3 linked regions of the Anolis sagrei genome follow. The protein of the gene in region 1 purifies or fractionates together with the protein of each later gene. This does not show direct contact. Links are inferred from orthologs where the notes say so. Each region holds a gene or a part of one and is shown in the gene's direction. Other genes may lie near its edges.

Evidence for each region. The genes of interacting proteins can lie anywhere in the genome.
Region 2: the proteins of FAM98A (region 1) and ATXN2L purify together in Homo sapiens (co-immunoprecipitation; 3 studies listed by BioGRID and IntAct, with this or other methods). This does not show direct contact. The link is inferred for Anolis sagrei from reciprocal best matches to the Homo sapiens genes FAM98A and ATXN2L.
Region 3: the proteins of FAM98A (region 1) and ATXN2 purify together in Homo sapiens (co-immunoprecipitation; 3 studies listed by BioGRID and IntAct, counting the BioPlex papers as one, with this or other methods). This does not show direct contact. The link is inferred for Anolis sagrei from reciprocal best matches to the Homo sapiens genes FAM98A and ATXN2.

The regions. Positions count from the first base shown.
Region 1 is NC_090021.1:50,028,333-50,039,160, forward strand, and holds the start of FAM98A (protein FAM98A), read left to right. Parts: upstream 1-6,228; 5' UTR 6,229-6,334; intron 6,335-8,159; 5' UTR 8,160-8,208; coding exon 8,209-8,261; intron 8,262-10,828. UniProt on the Homo sapiens protein: Positively stimulates PRMT1-induced protein arginine methylation. Involved in skeletal homeostasis. Positively regulates lysosome peripheral distribution and ruffled border formation in osteoclasts.
Region 2 is NC_090026.1:22,717,027-22,727,533, reverse strand, and holds the start of ATXN2L (ataxin-2-like protein), read left to right. Parts: upstream 1-6,465; 5' UTR 6,466-7,431; coding exon 7,432-7,703; intron 7,704-10,507. UniProt on the Homo sapiens protein: Involved in the regulation of stress granule and P-body formation.
Region 3 is NC_090034.1:30,792,406-30,802,156, forward strand, and holds the start of ATXN2 (ataxin-2), read left to right. Parts: upstream 1-5,709; 5' UTR 5,710-5,785; coding exon 5,786-6,024; intron 6,025-9,751. UniProt on the Homo sapiens protein: Involved in EGFR trafficking, acting as negative regulator of endocytic EGFR internalization at the plasma membrane.

The DNA.
Region 1 (10,828 bases):
TTTATGTATATTTGTAACATACTCCTATGTACTGTTAGACTATATTATTTGTATCATTATTATTATCTCACTTTCTCTCTCTTAAAAGAGTTTAACAATGTTAAAAACAATACAATGTACAAATTAAAGCCTAAAACATATAAACACTAAAATAAATTAAGCACACGATTATTACAATAGTTAAAACAATTAAAATTATTTTAAAATATTGAAATATGTAGATAAGACACTACACAGCACCTCCTGACTTGGTCTTTAAAACTTTCTTCATTAAAAGCCTGCCTGAATATAAAGGTTTTAGCCTGCTGCCAAAAGAATAGCAGATTTTGGCATCATGGCTTGAACTTTGTTATTTTAAGCTGAATATTTTAAACTTCTGAGAGTTTCTCCTTTTTGAAACACAGGAAGATGACAGAGAGAAACTATAACTACATTGGTTTGCTGCGAGTCTTCTGGTCTGTATTGCCATGTTCCAGAAGCATTTTCTTTTGACATTTCGCCCACATCTATGGCAGGCATCCATGCCATAGATGTGGCAGGATGCCTGCCATAGATATGGGCAAAACATCAGCAGAGAGTGCTTCTGGAACATGGCCATACAGACCAGAAGACTCAAAGCAACCCAGTGTTTCCGGCCATGAAACCTTCAACAACACATAACTACATTGTTGGATGCTTATTTATTTATTTATTTTATTTCAAACATTTATATCCCACTCTTCTCACCCCGGAAGGGGGACTCAGGGCAGCTTACAACCAGTAATCATTAGATGCCATACAAACAATAGCAATAAAATCACAATTAAAGTATTAACTAAACAGTAGATTAAAATATTCATTTAAAAGTTAACAAATCCAAGTCCAAATCCACATTCAAACTCATAGTCAATGGAATAATATGCATTATTATTGCTGTGTTTGTTGCTCGAATGCTTGGTCCTATAACTATGATTTAAGCTTTTTTCTAAAGGACAGAAGAGAAGGGACCAACCCGATTTCACTGGGGAGTGTGTTTCACAGATGGGGGGCCACCACAGAGAAGGCCGTCTCTTGTCCCCACCAGTCGCGCTTGCGAGGGTGGTGGGATCGAGAGCAGGGCCTCCTCCGATGAACTTAAGGTGGGGTGGATGAGGTGGATCATAGAGGGAGATATTTTCGGACAAGTAAGTTGGGCCAGAACTGTATAGGGCTTTAGAGGTGCATCTATAAAGAATATTTAAGAGTAAGGGTGCATCTGTACTGTAGAATTAATTCAGTTCAAGGTTCCTTTAACTGCAATGGATCAATGCTATGTAATTTTTGGAGTTGTAGTTTGATGAGGCACCAGCACTATTTGACAAAGAAACTACAGCTCCCAGGATTCCATAGAATTGAGACATGGCAGTCTGAAATGGAATAAAATTGAAGTAATGTACTGTAGTGGAGATGTCCCTTAATTAGTATTGTTGAAATATTCCTGACATGTGGCATCTGTTCTCCATTCTGGCCTTGCACATAATAAATCAATGTGTTTGGCCTGCAACGTTCATAGTTCCTCATCTTTGGCTGCTGAAGCTGGAACTTAAGAGATAAATATGGTTTGTAAGATGACATTGGTGACTACATGTTTTAATGGTTTTTATATATGTTTTAATATTGTTATATTGACTGTTTTTAATTGCACTTTTATGAATGCATGGCATCGAATCGTGCCAATCTGTAACCTGCCTTGAGTTGCCATATGGTTGAGAAAGGCGGGTTATAAATGTCGTAAATAAATAAATATCACCTCTTATGGGAAGAAAGGTGGCCTGCCATGTTGGTTTGAGTGTCTCATTTTAAAATGCCTGATAATATATGCATGCATTTAGAGATAAATAAATTTGTTTTACTTTAAATCTCACAATTTTAAAAATAGCTTTTTTAAAGGTGCTGAATTTTGGTAAAAGTGTGTATAAATGTGAACATCATTCTTCTCACTCCCATATATTTCAAATTTCCTGATTTTTTTGTAAGATAATTTACAGTGAATTATTTTCTTAAACCTCTCTGAGTTGGATCTCGGGATAGAGTGTATGTATTGGCTAATATAGTTTGGATTAATAAATTGAAGTTAGAATTAGATTTATACATGCAGACTCTTTTGTTCTCTTTTCTTGGCACACAGCAATTCTAGAAATCTTCTCGAAATATATTGTTGTCTCAAATGATATGTTCTCATTACAACAACTAATCTTGAACTAATCTACCCAAGAAAACCCTGTAATAGGATCGCTTCACAGTCACTGTAAGTTAGAAATCACTTTAAGGCACTATAATTATGTAGGGCAAATGAGCCCTAAATTACATTAAGCTAGGCTGGTTTTTTTTTTAAAAAAGGAGTGTGGTGTTGTGGTTTGAGTGTTAAACTACAGCTATGGAGACCAGGGTCTGAATCTCTGCTGTGCCATGGGAACCCACTGGGTCACATTCTCTCAACCTCAGAGGAAGACAAAACAGTAAGATGAGGTGTGCCAAACTAATTTTCATTAAGAGTCACATCTGCCTTATGGTTGCCTTCAAAGGGTAATTGAATCCACGGAAGGAGAATCCATGGATACAGAGAGCCAACTATCTATCTATCTATCTATCTATCTATAACATATTACATAGTGGTTTCTGCTCTTTAGTTTAAACCCCAGATGTTACTGAACGACAACTCCCATCACTTTTGATCATCTGCCATGCAGACTGGGGATAATGGGAATTGCAACCCAACCGCTCTTGTGTCTCTTGTGTCTCTGAGGTTGGGGAAAGGTTAAAAATACTTTAAAGTCAAGCAACATACCTATAAGCCTTGTATCTAAATCTAAGCCCAGAATAAGTAGAACAAATTGCAGCCTTCCAGATGTTACTGTATCACAACTCCATCATCTCTAGTCATGTCTAATGAGGAATGCAGATGTCGTCCAGCATCTGGAAGGCCACAAAAAATGACATGGTGGGCCAGATTCGGGCCTTGAGTTTGACACATGTGCCTGATAGCAAATCCCATGAGTGGGTCCCTATATGTTGGAAATGACCCAAAGGCACACAATAAGGAGGCAGGTGCCATCTACTGGCGTTTCTTCATTGTTTGTGCACAGCCAGAAATGCTACTACCATCCAGGAATAGTTATAAAGATTGAATGTCCCTTATCTGGAATTCTGAAATCCAAAATTGTTCACACAGATGGCTGCGATAGCAACACCCTTGCTTTCTGATGGTTTAATGCACGCACACAGTTTGTTTCATACACAAAATAATTCCATATATTGTGTTGAAAATGACCGTCAGACAATGTGTGAGGCACATAAATGAATTTTGTGTTTAGACTTGAGTCTTATCTCCTTCCAGTATTCCAAATTCCGAAATTTTGAACTTTTTTGGTCCCCAACATTTCAAATTCAGGATGCTCAACGTGTATTAGTTTAGTTTGAGAAATGCTGCTTAGGCCTTGCGCACTAGATTCTGCAGCACTGGTATTACAGCAGTAGTCTACATTGTTGAATTAATAATAATAATAATAATAATAATAATCTTTATTGATACCCCGCCACCATCTCCCCAAAGGGGACTTGGGGCGGCTTACATGAGGCCAAGCCCGGTAGTGCAATTACAATATCATAACAACAACATAATACAAAAACATGAAATAAACATCGCAAAAGATAAATAAAGCAAAAAAAATATTTTTTTTAAAGCAAAAATAATACAGAGAAAAATCAAACACGATCATAGTGAGCGGGCCACATGTACAGGTAATGATAAAATTCAGGATGAGGTAGAAATAAAAACAGGTATATTTGTAAGAGAGAAACTCATAAATGACGGAGTAATGGAGACAGGCCTTCATAACGGCAGGAATCTGCAGAATGTGGAGGAACATTAAGTGGGGAGTGACAGCGGGAAATGTGAAATCACTCTCCAAAGTTTCTAGGGTGGGGGCTTGCCTAATCTCAACGGGCAATGAATTCCAGGGTTGGGGGGGGGGGGGGTGCACAGAGGAGAAAGCTCTCTCCCGAAAAGTGAAGAGGTCGGGCAGGTTTGTGGACGGAGATACGGTCGCGAAGGTAGGTGGGTCCCCAAACCGTTTAGGGCTTTGTAGATGATCTGCACCTTGAATTGGAACTGGAAAATAAATGGCAGCCAATTGAGCTCCTTAAACAGGGGGGTTGACCACTCCCTGTAATTTGCCCCCGTTATTAAGCTGGCTGCCGAGCTTTGGACCAGTTGTAGTTCAAGGGTAGCCCCATGTAGAGTGTGTTGTAGTAGTCCAATCTAGAGGTAACTAAGGTGTGGACCACCGTGGTCAAGTCCGACTTCACGAGGTATGGTCGTGAATTGTGCAAAGGCCCTCCCGGCCACCGCTGACACTTGCGCAAGTGTCAACGCCAAGTCCAGGAGGACCCCCAAGCTGCGGACCTGTGACTTCAGGGGGAGTGCAACCCCGTCCAGCACAGGTTGCCACCCAATACCCTGATCAGATGTGCAACTGACTTGGAGGACCTCTGTTTGTCGGGATTAATCTTCAGCTTGTTCGTCCTCATTCAGCTCGACACAGCCGCCAGGCACTGGTCCAGTATCTGAGGGGCTTCCTTGGAATCTGGTGGAAATGAGTAGTGGAGTTGGGGGTCATTTGCGTAGAGGTGGCACCGCACTCCAAAACTCCGGATGACCTCTCCCAACGGTTTCATGCAGATGTTGAATAGCATGGGAGACAAAATTGAACCTTGTGGGACCCCACAGGTCAAAGACCAGGGGTCCGAGCAGGTGTCCCCCCAGCATCACTAACTGGGAATGTAGGTTGACACCATGTTTAACTGCATAGATCAATGCTGTAGTATTCTTGGATCTGTAGTTTGGTGAGGCACCTGCATTCTTTGGCAGAAAAGGCTAATTATTATTTTTCGTAAAAACTACAGCTCCTGGTCCACAACATTGAGCCGTGGCAGTTTAAATGATATCAAACTGAATTAATTATCCCGTATAGATGCACCCATCATTCATTGCTCTCATCCAACAGCTAACTGGCCACCATTCTCAGGATTTCAAGTTTCCATTTTGTGTGCAAAAATAACAACACCGGCCCTCTTCAGAGTCAACAAAGGTTGCTTTCTATTTAAGGCTGCAGAGCAAGGCCCTATCTACACTGCCATAGAGTGAAGTTTCAAACTGCATTATACAAGTCAAACCTTATTTTATTTATTTACGATATTTATATGCCACCCTTCTCACCCCGAAGGGGACTCAGAGTGGCTTACAAGTTATATGTAAATACAATATATTATATTATTAGCATAACACAATATGAGTACCATACCATACATTCCCATATTGCACTACACCACTGTACTGTAATATTATTAGTAATATTACATGTAATATGAAATATATAATTATTTTGTATTATTAGTAGTATTATATTGCATTACTTTATAATATTATTATCAATATTAATCATAGAATCAAAAAGTTGGAAGAGACCTCATGGGCCATCCAGTCCAACCCCATTCTGCCAAGAAGCAGGAATATTGCATTCAAATCACCCCTGACAGATGGCCATCCAGCCTCTGTTTAAAAGCTTCCAAAGAAGGAGCCTCCACCACACTCCGGGGCAGAGAGTTCCACTGCTGAACGGCTCTCACAGTCAGGAAGTTCTTCCTCGTGTTCAGATGGAATCTCCTCTCTTGTAGTTTGAATAGTATACAATATATTAGCACAGCACAATATTAGTATTATATTTTAGTATTATATGAGTCAACACGGAGCATATAATTCAGTTTGAAGCGGCATCGTGTGAATTAAACTGCATTATATGAATCGACTGACTATATATGGCAGCTTTCAACATTGTATGGCAGTGTAAATGGGGTCGAAGGCACATGCTGGAACGTATCGTTTCCCAAAACGAAACGCCTGAAGTAGTTTGTCCCTCATCCCACGTCGTCGGCGCTATTCCTTTCAGGCCCCGTGCTTTACAACGTGGTTTCCCCGCAGAGAGAAAGAACAGCGAGAAAAGTCTTTTGCGGGCTGTCCTTTAGAGTGCCTGACAGAAAACCCCTGTTTCACGCTGAAGTATACTCTCGGCGTTAAGAAGAAAAAGACATCCCAGGGTGTACACGATGTGTAAAAAAAGAGGGAGCAGCATCCCGCTGGCTGGAGACGCAGAGAGAAGGATATACTTTTTCCAAAACGCAGGCGCCTAGCTTGGCCACCCTCCCCTCAAGTCCGGGGTGAGAGGTGAGGCGGGGAGGTCCTTCCCTCTCTCCTCGCCCTTCCCCCACCGGCTGACATGCCAACCCAGCAGTCGGCGGCGTAGCAGCTGCGCGGAAGGTGGGCGCCGGGGCCCGTGTGGGGGCCGAGGGAGGGGGGAGCCCCAGGCAGCCCAGGGGAAAGGGAAGGGGCCGCCCTCTCAGGCGACGCAGGGGCTGCTCGCCTTGTGGGCCAGGGCAGGAAACCCTCTGAAAAGTATGGGCTCGCCATGAGTCGACAGGCCTCTGGGAGGGGGCCCGAAGGTGGAGGCCGCACTAGGCCTTTCCCCACCGGGAAATGGGAAAGATGCCCAAGAGTGAGGGAGTTGGGAGGCTTAGCTTGGAGAAAAGAAGGTTTGAGAGAAGGGAGAGCCATGTTTGAATAGTTGAAAGGATGCCACACTGAGGCAGAGGGAGCAGGCTTGTTCCCCTGCTGCTCCAGAGGCTGGGGGCATCTACATTGTGGTTTGGCCCCACTTTAACTGCCTTGGCGCAATGCCATGGGATCCCAGGGGACTGTAGTTTGGTGAGACACCAACTCTCTCTGGAAGGCCCCCACAATGATATAGCATTAAGCCATGGCTGTTAAAGTGGCACTGCACTGCGTTAACTTGACAATGTAGATGCGTGGGACCCAGAGCAGCCGGCTCAAAATGCAGGAACGACATTCAGCCTAAACCAGGGATCTTCAAACTGTGACCCTCCAGCTCAGGCATGGGCAAACTTGGGGCCTCCAGGTGTTTTGGCCTTCATCTCCCACAATTTCTAACAGTTGGCAGGACTTGAAGCACAGGCTAAAGCAGGCATGGGCAGACTTCGACCCTCCAGGTGTTTTGGGCTTCAACGCCCACAATTCCTAAACAGCTAGCAGGACTTGAAGCACAGGCTAAAGCTGTCATGGACAAACTTTGGCCCTCCAGGTGTTTTGGGCTTCATCGCCCACAATTCCTATCAGCAGGCAGGACTTGAAGCACAGGCTAAAGCAGGCACGGGCAGACTTTGACCCTCCAGGTGTTTTGGGCTTCAACTCCCACAACTCCTAACAGCCGGCAGGACTTGAAGCACAGGCTAAAGCAGACATGGACAAACTTTGGCCCTCCAGGTGTTTTGGGCTTCAACTCCCAAAATTCCTAATGGCCGGCAGGACTTGAAGCACAGGCTAAAGCAGGCATGGGCAAACTTTGGCCCTCCAGGTGTTTTGGGCTTCAACTCCCAAAATTCCTAATGGCCGGCAGGACTTGAAGCACAGGCTAAAGCAGGCATGGGCAAACTTTGGCCCTCCAGGTGTTTTGGGCTTCAACTCCCACAATTCCTAACAGCTGGCAGGACTTGAAGCACAGGCTAAAGCAGGCATGGGCAAACTTCAACCCTCCAAGAGTTTTGGGCTTCAACTCTCACAATTCCTAACAGCTGTTAGGAATTGTAGGAATTGAAGTCCAAAAACACCTGGAGGGCCAGAGTTTGCCCATGCCTACTTCAGCTGTTTTTGCCCTCCAGCACCCAGAAGCCCAAGCCAGATTGTTCAGTAGTCAGGAATTCTGGGAATCGGAGACCCAAACAGCTGGACAGCTACAGTTTGAGTTCTGACGTCTGACCTAAACAGAATTTCCTGGCTCTTACACCTGTTTGGCAGTAGATTGTACTGTCTTGAAGTATGGTGGAGTCTCCTTCTCTGGAGTTTTACGCAGAGGCTAGATGGCTATGTATCAGGAGTGCTTTGTGCATTGCAGGAGCTTTGGCTGGATGTAGTATCTTCCCACTTTATAATTCTGTGATTCTAGGATGGGTGGCAGTGGACAAGGGACCCAGTTGTACAAGGTACCCTTCCTGGGCTCTATGCTAGCATGTAGGTAGCCATGCATTTCTCCCAAGCAATTCTAATTTGGCTTTGTTTTTGCTGATTCTAGTTTCCAGCTTCTGTTTATTTTTCTGTTGGATTCTTTCTGAAGCTCCAGAATGGAGTTCGAGCTCATGGAGAATGATATTCTGGAATCACTTGAAGACCTAGGGTATGTATGAGTGAAAATGACTGTTCAGCTTTGAAAACAATGTTCTTTTTCCAGTGCACACTTTTATCCACAGATTTAATATCTGCAGTTTTAATATCCACAGTTTCAGTGTTTGTGGGCCTCTCCAGATCCTCCAATGCAATTCTATGCCCTGCTTTCCTCCCTAGTATTGTTAAAATATAGAGTTTGCTATTACCCAAGGTTTCAGCTGTCTGTGGGGCTGGGAGTATTTTGGAACATAGTCTTCATGAATGTGGTGGCTGTACTGTATTCTTACCTGTTTTGCCAGGCTTTGCAGTTTGTATTTTTGTATAGATGTTATGTTTCAGGTATATAATCACTGTTGGTTCATTGAAGTACAGGTGAAAGGGATTCTGTTGTTTAAGAAAATGAAAATATCTTCAGGTCATTCTTAGCAAGATGAGGTCCAGAACATATAAAGGCATTTTGGCTGTAAGAACAGAATAATAAAGCTGAATCAGATCAGAGATATCCTTTTCTAGCGTTCTATTCAAACAGTGCAGAGCAGTTGTCATAAAATGACATAAGAATGACAGCATCTCTTTCATAGCTAATTCAAAAACAATCATTGGTCCAGTTTATTCTTTATTCTCATTCGTTTCCTTAACCTCCATAGTTATGGAATAGATTTGAAGAAAGGGGAAATAAATATAATCATTTTAATGCCCCTTTCAACTTCCGGCACTAAGTTTATCAGCAAGGCCCATGAGGTCTCTTCCAACTCTTTGATTCTATGATTCTATAAGGATTTCAGACCAGTGCTATGCCCTAGCAAAAGTGGAAAAATTGACTATGCATGACATCTGTCAGTGATTTATTGTCTAGCACCATGGATGAAACTCACAGTTTAAAATAGTATTTTTAAAGTAATTGGGCTTTTTCCTTCATGCTCCTTGTTTTTTTATTAGCTGAATTCCCTTTACTAGTCATTGCATAGAAGCCTTTAGCCTTTTTAGTAATGTTGTAATATTTCAATTCTATGCTGTAGAGAAATTAGTTTCTAGCTTCTTTCTTTATTTTGAAATGTATGGTTATCTATGCATATCAGTGCACATGAGGAATGTTCACACAGAACCTAGTAGAGGCAAACAGCTGTTACAAAAGTAGAACAATATTAACAGTAAGCAGATGGGAGGTTAAAGGAGAATTATTCATGTTTGCTGTTACTTACAAAAATGGCTAGGTTAGCCCTCCAGTTAGCCGTGAAAGCTACATTGGTTTCATTTTCTTAAGAAGTTCATAAAAACTGTTTTTTTTTTCTTCTAAAAGAGTTTAGATATTGATGTAAGGGCAGTTTTCTACTTGTTAATTATCACAGGACAGGCTAATTTATTCCTGCATTGGATGAATAATGGAGGAGCTGAGGTACTCATTGCTGATGATCATATATGTATAGAGACTAAAAGGTTACTGATAAGTAGGCTGCAGTATGGAAAAGGGCAGAAATTCTTGGTCTGGACCAGTCAGTTGATCCAAAGTGCAAATCACACAATTGATCCATTTCTTTCATTAAATAAATAGTTGTCTTCAGGTATCAAATCAAAATTATTTTAGAGTTAGTTTAGGATTTCTATGTGGGTCAAACCGAACTGATATTATATTAATAAGTGCTTTTCAAGTTAGATCACCTTAATGTAATCTCCCAGTTTGGTGAAAATTCATCCTGCTGTATTTGCACAATGTGGAAACAAATATAAACTTAATTTGGTTTATATGTGTATATACTGTGCATATGCAGCAATTGGTTTTACTTATTGCAGATACTAGTTAATAATACAGTGTGAATAATCAGAACTGATATCACATGTTTTAACTTGGGTTTCTAAAATATGATTTAAAAGAATGTATCTTCCAGTAAACACCAATTTTAGAAAAGGATCCAAAGAAGTATTGGGAAAAAGTAATTTGGAGTATTAGCCAAAGAAATGAGTGAACAACGGGGCATTGTTTGGAGGGGAAAGTTATTTTTAAAATTGGACAAAACTACTGTTGTACCAAAAATAATTGTTGTTCTGGCTCTGTAAGCACATTTACATCATGTCTTTTAGATTCTGTTGTTCTCATATGAAGACAAAAACATTTACAATGAGACATTTGTTTAGTTCTGTATTGCATCCTGAACTTAGAAAAGTTGTTTTTTATGGATTGTAAGTTCCAGGATCTCCAAGGTAGCCTGGTCACAAATGGATTCTTGTCCCAAATAACTAATACTATAAATGTTTCTTGCAGGCAGGAACATTGAAGAAAGGAGAAAAAGAGTGTATAGGCAGTCCCGAGTTACAATCATCTGACTTACAAACAACTCATAGTTAAGAACAGGGCTGAGAGAACAGGAAGTGAGAGACATCTACCCCTCAGAAGAGAAATTCACTCCTGAAATGTGCCTGTTTCAACTTACAAACAAACCTGCAGAATCTGTCTTGTTTGTAACATGGGGACTGCTTGTATTAAGAATTTCAGACAGGAGATATAGGATGGAGTGGGAAGGACACTGATAAAGAGCGTGAAGAAAGGATAAAGCTGCATATTATTTAACTCTGCTTTGA
Region 2 (10,507 bases), on another chromosome or scaffold:
CCATATAAATCAATTTAAAAGTAGATAATCTGGATTTTATATGGCAGTGTCGAAGGGGCCTCAGACATGATGATGGTGCTGTCTCAGGCAGATAGCTGAAACTACTCAAGATACACTCTGTTGATGTAGTTTTACCAATATGAAAACTGGGATAATGGCTAAAAAGCAGTCATGGACTGGATTGGGAAGAGGGGATTTCCTACACCCATTTAGTCTAAAGTCATAAGACTCACTGGTAGTAGAACTGGCACAAAATTTACTTCATCTTAATTCACTGGTGGCCCATGCAGACAGGCCAATATCCCGGGATTTGTCTGGGTTTTTACCGGAGGAGTCCAAACAATGCCTCCGGTAAAAAATTAAATGGGAATAAATAGGGGTTTCCCTGGATTGTTCTGAATTAATTAAATACCTGGAAGACCCAGATCTTAGAGATCCAGATCTTACCAGATGTGGACCCTGTGGGATTAGACCCAGAGACCACATTACACCATTCCCAGCCCAATCTACACAGCCATTAGATGGTGTCCCACATCACTGGATATAATGTAATGGCACATCTAATCATAGCACACCAACTCCATTATATAACCTGGATCACAATTTAGATGACAGAACTATATATTTTGGGTATCATGTTAATATTTGACTCACAAGAGTAAACATAGTGACAGAAACTACAGGAAAGGGCAGTATGCATAAAATAAGTCTGGTTTATGGACTCTCATAGGAATGTATGTTTTAATTTTTTTGCTGAAAGAACCATTGCAACTATCTCACTTTGAACACAAGAACTGCACTCATCAGGGCTGTACTTCCAGTTCTCAATATTTCATTTGGTATAAAGAATTATTGCACATAGTTATTTATAAACTTTTTGGTGGCAAAATTGATGCAGGTGGTGGTATACAGAAGGGGAAGCTACGACTGTCCTTTAGCTACAGCTGTCCTTTAGCGTCTCCACATAGCAGGACTACCAAACAATTAAGGCCTGCTTGAGGCCAACACTGTTGATCCTTATGGCCCCCTGGGCCGAGGTGCCCTCTTCCCACACCACAAGCAAAGCAACTGGGATATGAATATCTGTGATAATATATGCAGAAATAAAGGCAGTTGTATTGTTCAAGCTCCCACCTTTTATATTTTACGTTTTTTTTTAATGAACAAATAGAAACTATAATAGAAGTGAGCAACATAGTAATTTAATATTTTTAGTCAATGCATTGTAAGTGGTATCTTTCCTGAGTTTATTTTGGAATTGTTTTTGGTTCAGTGTTATGTACTAGTTTATTGGGATGTGTAGTACATGAATGCTGGACAGTCCTATTGCAGGAAAATGACAAGATGTTGAACTGCTTACCAGTCAGGCGAGTTCATTCCACCTTGAATCTCATGCTGTGAGAAGAGTGGGATATAAATTGCAGATAGAACGACAAGTAATCTTATTAAAAACAATGGTAAGAGTCTTTGTTGATGTATGACAAACATACCATGTACATATAAATTTGTCCTCTATTGGTTTTCATTTTTAAAGCTCACAGGCAATATGCCAATTTTTCATTAAGTACAACTGTTCATATGCTGTTCAGATGGGCATTTGTGGTTAAACCTTTTAAGATGTCATTAGTTTGTGATCTAGCTATAGCTATTAGAATCACTAGTAAATCTTAATGTGGCAGACTTTTATTATTACCAGTAAAGAGTGATTGCAATAATAATGGGCCATTGAATTCTGTCTTCTGACCGATATTGCTTTTAAGCATTAATGGTTCTGTATATCAAAATACTTTTAACGCTCTAAAATTCTAGCCAAAGATAGAGGAGGATACAATTTCGCCCACAACAAATTTTGGCTAGCTTGGTAGGACACCTACACATTGCCTTTAGATTCTTAGAAAGATGTCCACCTTTGTGCCAGCTTTCATCCAAAATGTAGTAATTATGAGATCTGTTTTCCAGACAGTTTTTATAGCATTGTTTCTAGGATATTTAATATTAATTAGCCAATCATACATTTCAGATGTATCACCTTTTGGGAATATTGGAGGTTTACACATCCCACATTATGTGTGCACTCTTCCAATTCGTTTCCATTGAGATTTTAGAAAGGTACGTGGCTATTTCTTAAGAGTCAATTCAAGACAACATTTTGCTGTTTAGTCCGGAGTATATGTAGAGGCAATGTTTCTTGCCTTTTTTTAAAGTCCTTAATTTTGAATAATTGGTGTTTTCTCCATGTTTATATTGATTACATTTTTCCAGATAAGAAGGGATGATTTAAGAGGAAACATGGGAAAATGATAGTATTGTAACAGTTGGTCATTGTTCCAATTTTCTCCCAGCCACTGCTATATTCTTCAGCTACCAAGTTGTCACATAAACTATCTATAGCAGGATCTCTGCTCTTATGTGTCTTCAAGTTGTTTCTGACTTATGATGACCCAATGGTGGGCCTATCACAGGGTTTTCATGGAAGAATTTGTTCAGAGGGGCTTTGCACTTGCCTTACTTCGAGGCGTGTGACTATGCTTGCTTTTTTTTTTTTTTGCACAGAATCTCTCCCACCTTGGTGTCCCCTTTCCAAACCTTAAGAAACTTATTTTCAATAATGTTGTGAATATTCTTGAATATTATTTTCATCTCAAGTAGTGTTCATCTGCAGCATTTACCAGAATTAATTAAATTCACTAACACTTTTACCTGTCAGAATCATAGCCTCTTCCAGACATATATTTACACATAAGTTTTTGTTTTGGGTAAGGTTTATTCACATGTTATATACATATAGGATTGCAGCACTAGCCTCCTATTAAAAACATCTTTTTTTAAAAAAAATCTTTATTGCAATTTTCTGTTAAAATATATCATAAAATATCCTAGAAAAGAAAAGAAAAGAAGAAGAAGAGGAGGAGGAGGAGGAGGAGGAGGAAGAAGAATTCGCCTGTCAGGAAAGAATTTGTTGTTGTTAACTGCCTTAAGTCAACTTTGATTTACGGTGACCCTATCAATGAGAGACCTCCAAGTCACCCTTACCAGTGATCCTGCTTCAGGCTTGCAAATGCAGGACTAACTTCCTTAACTGAATCTACCTGGAATGCAATTCTAAGCTGCATCAAGAGAGGTATACTAGATCAAGGGAAGTAATAGCTCTATCCTGCCTTGTTCACACCTCACCTGGAATACTATGTCCTTTTCTGGGTACCACAATTAGAGAAGGATGTGGTCAAGTAATCCTGAGAAGGGCAACTAGAATGATAAGAGATCTAAAAAACATGCTGTAAGGGGAGCGGCTTAAAAAGCTGAATATATTTAGCCTTCAGAATAGAAAATTGAGAGAAGACATGATAGCTATTAAGGGTGTGCAATTTTTTGTTAGTCTTTGTAAGTTGTATCAAATTTGTTGATATCCGACGTGCAGGCATGGCCCGCACCAAAAACTTAAGAATCAAAACCTACCCAATACTATTTCCTTTGAATATTTTAAATCTTGGAAGCCTCCCAAAATCAACTTCATTTTCAGCACAAACAAGCCAAGCCAAGCCATGCATAAATATGTGAAAAGGGGCAAACTTGTTTTTGCTGCTCCAGAGACTAGACTACAATGCAGCAATGGATTCAAATTCTCATGCCCATTCTAATCCACGTTATCAAAGCAGAAAATCCACATTCTCTGATTTGAGTGGATTATCTTAGACTGCACTGCCATATAGTCCAGTTCAAAGCAGATAGTGTGGATTAGAAGCCAGACTGCTATCAGGAGTGAATTACAGGGAGCTGTCTACCCCCGTTTAAGGAACTGAATTGGTTGCCATTAATCACCTACAAAGCCCTGGTTTGGGACCCAACTACCTTCGTGACCGCATTTCCTTTTACAATCCTGCGCAATCTCTTCAATCCTTGGGGGAGGCCCTCTTCTCGCTCCCATCTCCATCACAAGTGCGGCTTGTGGGGACGCGGGAGAGAGCCTTCTCCATTGTGGCCCCTCAGCTTTGAAATTCGCCACCTTGTGAGATTAGGCAAGCCCCCCACCCTGGCAGCCTTTAAGAAAGATCTAAAAACCTGGCTCTTCCATCATTTCCGTCCCACTTTCCCTTGTCTTTAATGAAGGCTCAATCCCACTGTTCGCCCCTTCTGAGCTCCCCCACAGACACATGTTGTTAATTCATTCAGTCGCTTCCGACTCTTCGTTACCTCATGGACCAGCCAACGCCAGAGCTCCCTATCAGCTGTCACCACCCCCAGCTCCTTCAGAGTCAAGCCAGTCACTTCAAGGATGCCATCCATCCATCTTGCCCTTGGTCGGCCCCTCTTCCTTTTTTCCTTCCATTTTCCTTAGCATCATATTTCTCCATTTACTTATCTCTCCCAGGGTTTTATCAGTCTTATTCTGTGCATTTAGCCCACCCACCGTGCTTTTATTTTATTTCTTCATCACTGTGTTTTGCATCTGTTTATATCATTTTCTGTTATTTAATTTTGTTGTTATTATTAGCATTTTATTTTATTGTACTGTAATTCTTGGCTTGACCTCATATTAGCTGCCCTGAGTCCCCTTCGGGAAGATGGTGGCGGGGTATAAATAAAGTTTAATAATAATATTATCTGCTTTGATAATCTGGATCAGGCATGGGCAAACTTCAGCTTTCCTCCTGGTGTTTTGGGCTTCAACTCTCACAGTTCCTACCAGCCTCAGGCCCCTTCCTTTTCCCCCTCAGCCGCTTAAGTCCTGAACCAGTGCTTGGTCGCTATAATGGACTGGATGAGGGACAACAGATTGAAACTTAATCCTGACAAGACAGAGGTACTCCTGGTCAGTCGAAAGGCCGAACAGGGCATAGGGTTACAGCCTGTGCTTGACGGGGGCACACTCCCCCTGAAGGCGCAGGTTCGCAGCTTGGGAGTGATCCTGGACTCATCGCTGAGCCTGGAGCCCCAGGTTTCGGCAGTGGTCAGGGGAGGTTTTTCACAATTAAAACTCGTGCGCCAGCTGCACCCGTACCTTGGGAAGTCTGACTTGGCCACGGTGGTCCACGCTTTGGTTACATCCCGATTAGATTACTGCAACGCTCTCTACGTGGGGTTGCCTCTGAAGACTAAGCTTCAATTAGTCCAACGTGCGGCAGCCAGGTTACTAACGGGAGCGGGGTACAGGGAGCATACTACTCCTCTGTTGCGCCAGCTCCACTGGCTGCCAGTCAGCTTCCGAGCACAATTCAAAGTGCTGGTCTTAACCTATAAAGCCCTAAACGACTCCGGCCCAATTTACCTGTCCGAATGTATCCTCCCCTATGAGCCATCAAGATTACTAAGATCATCTGGAGGGGCCCTTCTCGGTGGTGGCTCCTCGACTCTGGAACTCCCTTCCACTGGAGATCAGAACTGCCTCTTCGATCTTAACGTTCAGGAAACAGGTGAAAACCTGGCTTTGGGGATTGGCATTCAACGAATGAGCCATGATCCTGTGATATGGATGGATGACGACTAATAATGACTTTGATGACGACTGACCACTGTAATCATGATTGTATTTTTGACATTTTAATTGTTTCAATGTTTTAGTGTGATTTAGAAATATGATGTTTTAATGACGGTCTGTAATATTGATGTTGGAAACCGGCCCGAGTCCCTCGAATGGAGGTGAGAAGACTACAAAACTGCCGAATAAATAAATAAAATAATTAAGCGGCTGAGAGGGAAAAGGAAAGGGCCTGAGGCTGTTAGAAATTGTGGGGGTTGAAGTCCAAAACATCTGGAAGGGCCCAAGTCCAAAACACCAGGGCTTAAGCAGCTGAGGCGGAAGCAACTGAAATTCTCTAACAAAAAATGTGTTTTCCCCATTATTACAGATCTAATCTTATTATCTGTACTGTAACATACTCATATTTGTTAAAAATGTACTCTATAACACATTATAACTACGAATCTAAATACAAAGAAGGGGTGGCGTTGTCCTTGAGGTGGCTACGGCGCAACCCGCGTGACATTGAAGAACTGGGGTCACACGGGGTCAACGGCCTTCCAGCGACATCCGGGGCTTCAGCGCCTTGGCAGGAGGCCACGCCCCCCTAGCCATGCGCACTGCGAGGCTCCCAAAGGCTTATCCCTCCCTCCCGGCAGGTTTGTGCGCAAGCGCGGCGTTCCCACTTCCCTCTCTCTCGGGGTCCCGCGCCTGCGCACTCCGAACAGGCGATAACGAGGCAGGCCTGGGTCTTTGTTTCCTCTTGCGCATGTGTAGTGGGGGCCCTTACCGGAGGAACGCCTCCTTTCCCTTTCCCCCCCGCCCCCGCAGCCAGGAACCCGATCCTACACATTGGTCGGAGGGAGGAAGCGCTAGTGGGAGACGTAGGGAGGAGGAGGGAGGAGGGGCCGAGGGAGAGAGGGAGACGTAGAGAGCGTGCGTGTGCGCGCGCGGGAGAAGGAGGAGGGGCCGAGGGAGAGAGGGAGCGCGCGCGCCCTCTCTCGGCGCATGCGCAATCGCGAAGCCCCTCCTTCCACCAGGGACTCATTGTGCAGCAACCGGATTGACTCCTTCTCGTCCGCGCGGGCGCCAGCGGGATCCTGTACTACTTCCCTTTTTTCCTTAAAAGAGGGGGGGAAAAAAGAGGGGGAGGACAAAACAAAAAAATAACCACCTCTACAACCCGGCTCGACGGAAAACAAAAAAGGGGTTTGGAACCGTTTCGCGTCGGGAAAGGGGAAAAAAAGGGGGGTTGGCTTCTTCTCCCTCAGCGCCAACATCACCACTCTTCCCCCCGCCCCTCTCTCTCTCTCTCTCTCGCTTTGACTTCCTCCTTTTGCGCGTGCGCACACGGCTGACTTTCCCCCTCCTCCCCCAACCCCCACCTGCGCGGGTTTGAGCCTCTTCCTCGCGGCCTCTTGATTGGCTGAAGCGCGCGCGCTCGAGAAAGAGAGAGGGAGCGCGAGCCTTAGAACTTCTCTCCTTTCTCTCTCCTTCCCCCCTCCCCCCCCGCGACAAAAAAAGGGCAGGGCCAGGCGACCAATCAGAGGACGCGTCGCTCGCTCGCGCGCGAGCAAGCGTAAAAACCCGTTCCTTGGCCTCGAGGCCTACGTTGAAAAAGCGAAGGAACGAGCGCGCTCCCGACGCTCTGAGAGAAGGCAAGCAGGGAAGTCAGTCAGTCAGTGAGTCGCTCGCGCGCGCGCTAAGGCCTAGGCTAACGAAGGGCGGGAGTCGATTGAGGTTCTCTTCCTCCTCCTCCTTTAAGAACCCTCGTTTGTGACCACCCTCGCTGTCTTGTCTGTCTGTCAGTCAGTCAGCTAGGGAACTCCTTCGCCGGCCGGCTTCCCCTTCCGGGTTCAATTCGAACCTCCTCAAGGGAATCCTAGGCCTCAACGGCCTCCTGTGCGCCTGTGCTCAGGCAGGCAAGCCAGGCAGGCGGGCGGGCTCGGGAAGCTGAGCCTGTGGCGTCCGCCATGTTGAAGCAGCCGCTGCCGCCGCCCTCACCGCAACCCGCCCCTCCGGCTTCGGGCCCGGCGCCGGCCTCCGTGCCCACGCCGCCCCTCGCAGCCGCCGGCACCTCTTCGGCTACCGTCGCCGCCGCCTCACGGAAGGCCAACCCGCCGCCCGCCAGCCCCAACGGCAGCCTCAGCCCCGGCGCCGCGGGGGGAGCCCGGGTTGCCACTGTGGCGCCCCCCGGGAGCGGAGGAGGAGGTGGAGGAGGGACCCCGGGAGGAAGCGGGACGAGGTGGGTATCACTTTAATGTTACATCCGGGGAATTTGGGTACAGGGAGGGAGGGAGGTGCGTGGACGCGCAGTGAGGGGTTGAAGAGAGGACTTGGCCAGGCCGCGGGGAGGAGGGCGGGACCAAAGGAGTGTGCGGCCCTGATAAGCGGAGGCCCGAATTTCCGGGCGCTGATTGGGCTGCGCTCTAGCCAATGGGGTGCCCCGCCCCAGGGCGAGGGAGGGGGACAACATGGAGGGGGGCTCCCCTTGCAGAAATGGAAGACAGGCAGGGTTGGTGTGAGGTTTTCAGGCTTTATGGCCATGTCCCAGTAGCATCTATGTCAGGCCCTTTTCAGTGGTTCTCAACAGGCCCCTAGCCAGGATTTTGTTTCCGGGGGGTGGGGGGGGGGGCTGAGTCTGAGTGAAAGAGGGTCTGCCCTAGCAAACCTTTTGTATCATTAGGTTCTTGTAGGTTTTTTCGGGCTATAGGGCCATGTTCTAGAGGCTTTTCTCCTGACGTTTCGCCTGCACGTTTCGTCAGGAGAAATGCCTCTAGAACATGGCCCTATAGCCCGAAAAAACCTACAAGAACCTAGTGATTCCAGCCATGAAAGCCTTCAGCAATACTTTTGTATCATTACCCCAATACCCCCATGCATATGGGATATATTGAGCATGGTGATCATATCATGATATGAATAAACATAACAGTTTAAATAATGTACCAGGAAGGCCTTTTCGCGGACCACCATGAGAATTTGGGGGGGGGGGGAAGCCACCAAAGCCCCCCCCCCCCCCCCGCGGCTACATGCCTGGTTCTCAACCTGGGGTCCCCAGATGTTTCTGGCCTACAATTCCCAGAAATCCTAACAGCTGATAAACTGGCTGAGATTTCTGGGAGTTGTGGGCCAAAAACATCTGGGGACCCCAGGTTGAGAACCACTGCTTTAGGTGCTTTGGACTTTAACTCCCATGTAAGTTACACATATGTTACTGATCTCTGTTGCATCATAATAGACTCACCCAAGTCTTGTAGAACAAGGCTCTGCAATACATTTGAAATGCATTTTCAAAAGAAGTTATTATTATTATTATTAACTTTATTTGTACCCCGCTAGCATCTCCCGAAGGACTCGATGCGGCTTACAAAGGCCAAGGCCTCAAAACACAACATAACAATACAAAACCTAAAGCAAATTAAAAACAGTTAAAGCAATATTAAACAACAAGCAATAATCAGACATGGGCTAACTTCAACTCTCACAATTCCCAACAGCCTCTGGCTCTTTCCTTTTCCCCTTCAGTCGCTTAAGCATAGTATGTTTTGGGTTAAGCATACTATGAACCTCTCAGGACTTTAAGATCGTCTGGAGAGGCCCTGCTCTTGGTCTCGCCTTTGTCACAAGCACAGTTGGCGGGGACGAGAGACAGGGCCTTCTCAGTGGTGGCCTCTCGGCTATGGAACGCCCTCCCTAAGGACATCAGATCGGCCCCCTCCCTTTTAACATTTTGGAAGAGAGTTAAAACTTGGTTCTTTGAGTAGGCATTTGCAAATACAGAGTAACAGACATAGGAAAATGGAATGAATGACAATGTGACTGGACAATGTTTTTAATGAGGAGACCCTAATGATACGTATTTTTATTGATTCTGTCATGGTTTTATTATTCTATTGTTTTATTATATTGAAATTGTATTTTATGGTCTTGGTACCAACTGTAAACCGTCTCGAGTCACCTGCAGGCAGAGAGGGATGGTATATAAATATAGTAAATAATAAATAGTAAATAAATGTGTTTTGGACTTCAACTCTGCTTAAGCTGCTGAGCGGGGAAAGGAAAGGGCCTGAATGTGTTAGGAATTGTGGAAGTTGAAGTCCAAAACACCCGGCGGGCCCAGGTTTCCCCATGCCAGACGTAGGGACTACCGGTTGTATTGTTGAAGTCCAAAACATTTGGAAGGCCCACATTGGCCCATACCTATTTATTTATTTGAATATGGCAAACATCCTTAGAGGTTTGGGGGAATGAAGCAAGTGGGATGTGTATATATATCTGTGGAATGTCCACTTTGCAGGAAAGAACTCTGTTTGAGGCAAGTGTGACTGTTGCTATTAGGCAGCTTGATTAGTAATCGAGTAGCTTTGCAGTTGCATTTGGTGGTCCTCATGTAGACTTGTTCACAGCTGCATCATATACAGTAGATGAGTGGTTCCTAACTTTTTTTTTTGGACAGGGACCACTTTGACCAGGGACCACTCTACAACCTTGTAAAACTACAACTCCCAGGATTCCATAGCATTGATCCACAGCAGTTGAAGTGGTGTCAAACTGCCTTGATTCAACATTGTACAGCAGTGGTTTCCAACCTTTTTTTGATCAGGGATCACTCTACAACAGTGGTTCTCAACCTGGGGTCCCCAGATGTTTTTGGACTTCATCTCCCAGAAATCCTAACAGCTGGTAAACTGACTGGGATTCCTGGGAGTTGTAGGCCAAAACACCTGGGGACCCACAGGTTGAGAACCACTGCTCTACAACATTAGGACCTAAAGGGTTAGAAATCAGTTTTTGACCAACTTTAGATTCGGTTTGAATATTTGGGATGCTGATTTGGAAAATTGCATTGGATAGATCACATCAGCTCTAGTTTCTTATACAGAATATTTGCCATACAGTAGTCCCCATCTGCTCACCCACAGAAAACCATATTTAACAATTTCGAGCTGATGTGGTAGTAGTAATCTTTTGTGGGTAGTCAGCCTCTCCTCTCCTGACATCCCCATTGCCTTGGCACTATAAGAGGATTCCGCAAGACCAGTCGCT
Region 3 (9,751 bases), on another chromosome or scaffold:
GAGATTGCCTGGTGATTTTGCCTCCGGCACATATTTTAAAGACATCCCCTGCCTTGAAGAGCTGGGCCTTTGCTAAAGATTAGATCTACAGCAACTGTATTTGCAAATAAAGTTGTAAAAGTCACAGGCTGTCTGCCAAGAACACCCAAGGAAATCTTAACCTTAAGAGGACTCAAAAACACTTCCCACTTTCACGGGAAACGTTTCTGTGCTCCCCAAATATTTAAATAGGCCCACCTATAACAGAATTTGTCCCTTCTCTTTGACTCAAAAGCAAAACAAGGGCTCTAATGCAAGCGGAGTGACTTCATGGTTCATGAGATGCTTACTATGCATGTTTGCTTGTTTGAGATACCTTTCTCCTGTCCCACTGTATAGAGAAATAGGAGTGTATTTCCATATGCAACAGAGGTGTTTAATCTCCTAATCAAAACCCTTTTTTGGAAATCCTCTTAAGCTTTGCCTGGCTCATCTTGATGGCCCAGCGCTTGTGTGTTCCTTTTTGCCAGCCATCGGGAGGTGCAACTTGAAACCCTGGTGAAGCCTAATCCAATTAACTCTGCAACTGGCCTTTTAAAACTCCGATTAAACCCAGACTTTGTGGCTGCTGCACCAAGCCCACCTTTTCCCTGCCCTGCTTTGCTCCAGTCTGAGCAAAGGTTCTGGAAAACTCAAGGCTGCACTCACTCTGCTGCTGTCGCATTTTGCTAGAGAAAGGGCCTCATGGTGGATTTGGAACCAGAGTGACAAGAACGGAACTTGACATCAGTAGCTTTTTGAACTGTAATGCCCACAATCTACCAACCAGCCTGGCTGAATTGTCTGTCTGTAGGAGGACAGATATATTGGCTGACTCAGTGGTGTCCAAATTTTTTGCAAGAAGGGTCAGACTTGGCAAGATTAACATAGGAGCCGATCAATTCAGCCTGACATTCTTTGAACCATTAACATTAATGGCAAATGAACTATTTTATGAAATTTGCATTGAAAATCACATACTTCTCATTTCTTCACACAGAACACAAATCTAAACAAGTTTTTACAAAAATCACTCTACCTTTCATATTTGAAGACCACATAAAATGGAGAAAAAGTCTGTTTGGAAGATTAAACATCTCTAGGTTCATTTGAAACTACATATTATTCACTATTGAATGCTCCCCTTAACTGGGTTGTTGTAAGTTTTTTCGGGCTGTATGGCCATGGTCTAGAGCAGGCATGGGGAACCTTCGGCCCTCCAGGTGTGGTGGACTTCAACTCCCACAATTCCTTGAGGCCAAGGTAAGCCTTTGGGGCGAATGCCGAGCCTCAAGGAATTGTGGGAGTTGAAGTCCACCACACCTGGAGGGCCGAAGGTTCCTGACCCCTGGTCTAGAGGCATTAACTTCCCTTAACTTCTAAATTCAAAACATATAAACAGAAAAATAACACTAACAATTATCTTACAAAACAAAACATTGAGGGCATTTTAATTGTACAAAATGCATAAGGTTGTGGCTGAACTACAACTCACATCATGCCAGGTTAACCCTAAGAACCTCCATCAGTACTTCAAGTTGGTTTGGTTGTGTTGGGCAAATTTGCTCTGGATGCATCATCAGTAAGGTTCAGTGTGCTCTCTGGCTGCAGGGTAAACTACAGCTCCCACTATGTTGAGTCAGTCCCCTCAAACCTCTCCAGTAGGCCGAGTTAGTCAAGGGGTGTGTCAAGTTTGGTCCAGATCCATCATCGGTGAAGGTCAGAGTTTCTCTGGTTGTGGGTTAACTACAACTCCCAGAAGGGAAGGTCAGTTTCCTCCAAAACCTTGCAGTAATCAAATTTTGGTATATCAGATATGTGTGCCAAGTTTGGTCCAGATCCATCAGTTTTTGGGTTCACAGTGCTTTCTGGATGTAGGTGAATGACAACTCCCCCAAATCAAGGTGAATTTCCCCCACAGACCTCCAGTATCTGGTCATGGAGCCTCTGTGGAGTTTGGTCCAATTCTATATCCTTGATTGCAGGTGAACTATGAATTCCAGTACCTCCAACTCCAAAATGTCCAGGCCAATTCCCCTCACAACCCACCAGTATTCCAATTTGGGCATATTGGGTATGCATGCCAAGTTTGGTCTAGATCCATCATTGTTTGGGTTCATAGTGCTCTCTGGATGTAGGTGAACTACAACTCCTATAAATCCCTCCAAAGACCTCCAGTATGTTTTTGTGATCATGGGGGTTCTGTGTGCCAAGTTAGTTCCAGGTCCATCACTGGTGGAGTTCAGACTGCTCTTAGAGTGCAGGTGAACTATACATCCCAGGACCTACAATTCCTATGAATCATAGTGAGTTCTCCCCAAACCTCTCTAGTATGTTCAGTTGCTGATCAATTCCTCTGTTTGCTGTATGCCATAGAAAAGAATAGGAAAGGGTTAAGGAAGAGGCAGTGGGCGGGATCATGCAAATTCCACACCGATGGAGAGAGTCAGAAATCTGGGATGTCTGCGGTGGAGGAAACGCATGAAATCAAGGATTGAAAGCCTTCACTTGGGTGGTGGGCAGTATGGTGTTTGTGGAGGACATTAGCAGGGCTCTTGTGCATGTTCATGGCGCTCACTATAACCTGCAATGTCACTGGGGGGGGGGGGGGGGCTTTGGTATTTCCTGAGCAGTGGGAGCTATATAAGCCCTGAGTCCCTATGGGGAGATAGAGTGGAATATAAATAAAGTATAATCATTATTACTATTATTATTGTGGAAGCAGGAGCCTGTCTGTGTCAGTAGACACCCCAGCCACACACACATACATATTTTAACTTTTATTATGTGTATAGATAGATAGATAGATAGATAGATAGATAGATAGATAGATAGACAGACAGACAGACAGACAGACAGACAGATAGAAAGATAGAGAGATAAGAATATACAATACTAATCTACTAACAGATAGACTTAAGTTATAGCTTTCAAAGAACAGTTTGGAAACAAAACTAACAGAAACATCCAAGAAAAATCTTCAAGCAGAAAAGGAAAGGATAACTAACTGGAATCAAAGATCCAGCATAAAAAGACATGGTTATTAGGTTTCAAGGACAGTAAGAACTCTCTATTACAGTGTGTCTCAAACTTCCTAATGCCGCGACCCCCAAACATAAAATTATTTTTGTTGCTAATTCATAACTAATTTTGCTTCTGTAATGGATTGTAATGTAAATATCTGATATGCAGGATGTATTTTCATTAAATGGACCTAATATGGCACAAATGCCCAATATACCCAAATTTGAATACTGGTGGGGTCAGGAGGGGGGGGGGGTTGTCATTTGGGAGTTGTAGTTGCTGGGATTTATAGTTAACCTACCATCAAAGCATTCTGAACTCCACCAAAGATGGCATTGGACCAAACTTGGCACACAGAACTCCCATGACCAACAGAAAATACTGGAAGGGTTTGGTGGGTATTGACCTTGAGTTTGGAGTTGTAGTCGCCTACATCCAGAGAGCACTGTGGATTCAAACAATGATAGAGCTGGACTAAACTTGACACAAATACTCAGTATGTCCAAATGTGAACACTGGTCGAGTTTGTGGAAAACAAACTTTGAAATTTGGGAGTTGTAGTTGCTTGGATTTATAGGTCACCTAAAATCAAAGAGCACTGATAGAATTGGGCCAAACTTCCCCCACAGAACTCCCATGGCCAACAGAAAATACTGTGTTTTCTTAGAGTTTTTGGTGACCCCTCTAACATCCCCTTGTGACCCCCCCAGGATGAGAAACGCTGCTCTAGTATATGGAAGATACCAAGGCTGAATCAAATCCCACCTTGTCTGCTTTGAACTAGAATATATGGCAGTGTGAAGTCAGATAACCCAGTTCAAAGCAGATATTGTGGGATTTTCTGCCTTGATATTCTGTGTTATAGGGCTGTGGGCTCTTCCACACAGCCTATATCCCAGGATATCATGGCAGAAAATCGCACAATATCTGCTTTGAACTGGGTTTTCTGAGTCTACATTCAGATAATGTGGGATTTTCTGCCTTGGTGTTAGAGGGCTGTGTGGAAGAGCTTATAGACTTTCCAAACAGTTTAGTAGTTTAAACAATGAATGTTAGGGTAATAGAGATGAAAATCTGAATGTAATACCATACAATGTTTTAAAGGTTCCTTAACTGCTCTCACCACCACCACCACTTTTCTTGATTATTTATTAGACATTTGTTAAATCTATTAAACTTATAAAATTAATAACAATATGAATAAATCCTAAATGTGTATGTGTGGGGGAGAGTCTTGGTGGTGGGTCCGTAAGTAGATCTAGATTAAAGGTAAAGGTAGTCCCCTGACATTAAGTCCAGTCATGTCTGACTCTGGGGTGTGGTGCTCATCTCCATTTCTAAGCCGAAGAGCCAGCGTTGTCCGTAGACACTCCAAGGTCATGTGGCCAGCATGACTGCATGGAGCGCCGTTACCTTCCCGCCGGAGCGGTACCTATTGATCTACTCACATTTGCATGTTTTCGAACTGCTAGGTTGGCAGAAGCTAGGGCTGACAGCGGAAGCTCACGCCGCTCCCCGGAATTGAACCTACGACCTTTCGATCAACAAGCTCAGCAGCTCAGTGCTTTAACCCACTGAGCCACCGGGGGCTCAGTGGGTTAAATCTAGATTAGATATAGATATTCCGTATTTACCCAGATCGAATGCTAATCTTTTGGGGCTACATAAAGTGATCTATTCTACAGCATAGATGCCCCAAGGTTTTTTTTCCCATTGCTGGAAGCTTTGGTATTGTAACCCGTTTGTTTTGAAAGAAGCAGGCAGCAACTCAAATGGCAGCATGACAAAGAGGACACTTTTGGCCACTTTCTTTGTGCATGACATTGGGCAGCAGAGACTTTTTGGTGTCAGGAGGTGCAGTTAGGCCCCTTCCACAGCTTGACAAAATCCACCTTGAACTGGATGATATGGTAGTGTGGACTCAGGGCCCTTCCACACACTCATATAACCCAGAATATCAAGGCAGATAATCCACAATATCTGTTTTGGACTGGGTTATCTGAGTCCACACTGCCAGATCATCCAGTTCAAGGTACATTTTATCCAGCTATGGAAGGGGCCTGAGTTATTCGAGGCCCCTCCCACACAGCTGAATAAAATCGACATTGAACTGGATTATATGGCAGTGTGGATTCAAATAACCCAGTCCAAAACAGATATTGTGGATTATCTGACTTGATATTCTGGGTTATATGGCTGTGTGGAAGTGCTCTGGGTTATCTAAGGGCCCTTCCACACAGCCCTATATCCCAGAATATCAAGGCAGTAAATCCCACAATATCTGCTTTGAACTGGGTTATCTGAGTCCACACTCAGATAATGTGGGATTATCTGCCTTGATATTCTGTGATACAAGGCTGTGTGGAAGGGCCCTGTGTTATCTGAGTCCACACTGCCAAATAACCCAGTACAAAGCAGAGAATGGGGGAATTTTATCCAGCTATGTGGAAGACGCTTGTGTGCATGGGAGACCCCCCCAACCCGCAAAGCCAGTTGCAGGCTCCACGCATGCGCTGCCTTTCTCCTCGAGGGAGGGAGGGGAGTTCACGTGACCCGGAAGCGGGGCCCCTGCCCGGCTGAGGCGACGAAAGCGGCGGAGGAGGGAGGGGCCATGCTGGAGGGGGCGGAGCGTCTTTCTTCGCTTTCTTCTTCTTTCCCGCCCAAAAGCAGGCCAGAGGCTCCTCCCCCTCCTCTGAGGAGAAGAAGAAAGAGGAGGAGGCGGGCAGAGCAAGGGAGACCGGCCATGGCCCTCAAGCAGAGTATCACCACGCCAGCTTCGGCAACTGGAGCAGCGTCCCCCGCGCCTTCGCCGCCGCCTCCTCAGCAGCAGCAGCAACAACAGCAACAAGCGGCACCCAGCCCGCCTCCGCCTCCCCCCCCACCTCCTCCCCCGCCACAAGGCTCGGCGGGCGGCAGCGGGGGAAGGAAAGCCCCCGGCGGAGCAGGCCTCGGCGGAGGAGCAGGCCGCGCCGCCCTCGGCAGGTGAGGCCTTCCCCTCTTACCTCCCCTCCCCGCCCTCGCGTTGTCCCTCCCCCAGACTTTGGAGCCAAGCGGCCTGGGCCCCGAGCCGGGCCCTTCCTTGGGGTGGGGTCGCCTCAGCCCCTCCGCCCCTTTCCTGCGCCATGAGAGGAATCCGGAGGGGGAGGAGGAGGAGGAGAAGGCAACTCTTCGGTAGCCTGCGTTGAGTGTATTATTGAGGCGCCGCCGCCGCAGTCTTGTGACCGGCCGACCTCTCTCGCTCGCGCTCCTCTTTCCGCCACGGAGGCCCCTTCCCCACAGCTGAATCAAATCCCACCGTGTCTGCTTTGAACTGGAATATATGGCCGTGTGGACTTAGATAACCCAGTTCAAACAAGAAATTGTGGCATTCTCTGCCTTGATATTCTAGGTTGTAGGGCTGTGTAGAAGGGCCCTGAGCAAATGGGCGCCTGCTTCCTTCTCAGCAAAAGGGACCGACTCCCAAGAGGTCCCACGAGCACGGCTTGGGTTCTTTTTCGATCCCTCCACCGTTTTATTTTCGATCGTGTTATTTTAGTCTTGCTTTATATTCTCATTAATGTCTTTAATGTCTTATTGTCTCTTCTTTGTATTTTTATTTGATGTTATATGGTATTCTGTTCTGATTTAATATTTAATAATTTATTTATATTTTTATTTCATTTTGTGTTTTATTTTTTTTAATTTATATTATATTATCCATATTGCGTTATATATATATATATATATATCACTATTATCTATAATTATGATATATTTTCTTATATGATATTGTTATATTTTATATTTTATTCTTTTTAATATTTTTATGTTATATTACTATGTCATATTATTTTATATTATATGATATTGTTATTGTATTCTAGTTTGTATTTGTTTCTATTTTATGTCTGTATTATATTAATACCTTTTTATTTTGTATTTTTATTAAATTATTATCTTTTATATTCTTTTTGTTCTATTTTATATTTTTGTTTTGTTATATTATGTGATATTATTTTATTATATGATACTGTTATTATATTTTACATTTTTTTATTTTGTATTTCTATTATATAGTCTATTTTATATTCTTTTTATGATAAGATATGATAGTGTATTTTATGTTCTCTATTTTTTATTACTATGATGATGACATTGTTGTTATTGTTATTGTTAATATTTGAACTGCCCCCTCCACCTGTGTCTCTCTTTCTCCCTCGGCAGGAGAAGGGTCACTTGTGCTCTAGTGGCAGCTATAATAACAGCAATAATAATAATAATAGGAAACGTATTAACCAACTCTCATTGTGGCTGAAAATTCTGTTTGGCGAGAGGGGGGAGCAAAAAGGAGGGATCTGGGGATTGTATGAAAGGAGCCTTTTCTTGTAAGGGGCTTTCTGCCCAGGATCCCAAGGCAATCACAAAATCAGAAAAAAACAAGAGAGAATGCTGGGCAAAAGGAGGACCCAGAGGAAGTGCAGGATTAAAAATAAAGGTCTTTTCCTTTTATTGATGTCTGCCCCCCATCCCTCCACCACCCGAATCGGACCACTGTACAAAGAATGGGGAACGCCCGCCTCCTGGCTTCCCCCTTTCCTCCCTTCTCAACATTGCATCAGAAACCCCTCTGGTTTGACAAGGGAGGTAGGAAGTAGAGGTAGGGCTCAGGTGGGGAGGGGGGCTTTGGGGTTGCTGCCTGGGGAGTGGGGAAAAGGTGAGCTGAGGCGTCCCTTCCCAAAAGGAGGGAGAATATTTTGTTAGAGGAGGATGGGCTGTCATCCTCGAAAAATGTTTGACCAATCCAGCGTTAACCTTGACCTGGGATCTTTACGGTGTTGGGAGGAAAAGGATGGGGGTGACATACTTTGAGGGGGAGGCACATGGCTTCCTTAAGGCTTTGTGCATGCCTCAATAGAATACGGAGATTCCAGGATGCAGCAAGTGGTCTTCACCTGGAGGAGCAAAGCAGCCTCTTGGAGGGGGATGGAGGGAGTGGGCAGAGCATGGCACCCAGCAGAGGCAGGCAGGGAGACTTGTGGTGCCTTGGCAGAAGGGAGGAGGATCCCTCTCCTGCAAGAGGGCCTTAGGGAGGAGGGAGAAGCAAGGGGGGCAGAATCCACTTGGGGCTGCTTCATAGCAGGCATTTGGGATGGGGAAGCGGCATATTGTCATGGTGCTGGGGGGAAACAGACAAGGACTTTCTGTGCGGTATCTCTGCCTGTAAGAAGTTGTATGAATGGGGAAATAGGGCATGGGTAAGGGCACTCCTGTCCAAGGCCTGGGCTGCTGCAGAGGGATTCCAGGTCTGGGGTAAGCCAGAGAGGAGGGAAACTTTTGAGCTGGTTCTTTGCCTGGACGTCCTGTGGGTGACCATTGGGACAGAGCAGAATTGTATGACCCTCCCAATGCTGGGGTATTATAGGTCTCAGCAGCCCTGGTGAGTAATGCTGAGGCTTGCGGGTGAGGGCAATCTGCAGGATCAGTCTGGAGACTGAGGGGGATTTCCGACCTTCAGGGTTAGGTAAGGAGCAAATGGAGGCCATGCCGAAGGCACCTTGGCAAATGTGGTTGCACCAGTCCAAGCCTGTCTTTCCTTCCTGCAGTCTTGAATGCAGAATAGCATTCTCTGTCTCAGTCCCTTAACCAACCCCCTTTCCATGGCACTGGGCAGTGTACTCCTACTTGGTCTCCTTGTCTAAATCAAAGGCCCCCTCCAACAGTGCTCTCTTGGAGAAGAAGAGTGAAGGTTATCTCTTCTCTGGAAGATGCAGGGTTTGAATCTCCGCTGGTCAGACTGGGATATACATTCTGTACTATACATTCTGTACTGTGGCTTGTTTGTTGAGGGGGCTGGAGGTTTTACACAGTTTAAATACCCTTGAGATAAATAGTTGTGTGTGCGTTAATAATAACACTATGCAGAGGACCATAATAAGTTGTCATGATATAGGACCCGAAACTGTATTGCCTGCAGGAGGCAACAGCACTTGGAACCAAGTAATGCCCTATATTATTTATGGAAGAGCAAAGATACATTTGCATAGCTGTAGCTTGGGTTGCCTAGATGTGCATGTGGTTGATATTTTTCATGGCGCAGGGTTCTCCTTTCTTGTTTTTTGTACGGAGAGGCCCCCATCCTGTCCTCTATGGCTGCAATCTCTGAAGAACCCTCACTTAGAAGTGAGCCCTGCCAGGCTGATCCCTGAGTAAACGTTCTGGAAGACTTAGGCTTGAAGAGAAGGTTTGCTTGAAATGGGTAGGGTGCCATTGTTTTTAGCCCTCCCTTCTGGCTACTCTGCTCCTGGAATTGGGGCATCTTCCTGTCGGGCACGCTGTGGGAGGCCGGAGCTATATTGCATGCGTAGGCTGCGTATTGCAGTGGCAATGTGTGACAAGTGCTTCAGAGCCCTGCTCCTCCATTGGCAGTCACTGGGCCCAGTCCATTGCTGGTTTCCAGGAAAGAAAGACATTGATGGTCTGGAGGGGCACTGAAGGAGGTCCGGTTACTGGCAGGTTGCAAAACAATTGCAATTATCTTCTTGGACAATTGTCTTGTCCAGTCCATAGCTCAGGAGTACATTTTCCCACATAAACCGACCTTTACCCAGGTTTTATCCTGCTCTATGAAGCACCTCCGTCTAGTATAGTTGGGAATGGAGCACATGAAGCTCAGAGAAAGAGGAAGACTAAAATGCAGGATCGTTTTCTCTCTTCCTCTATCATTTAAATG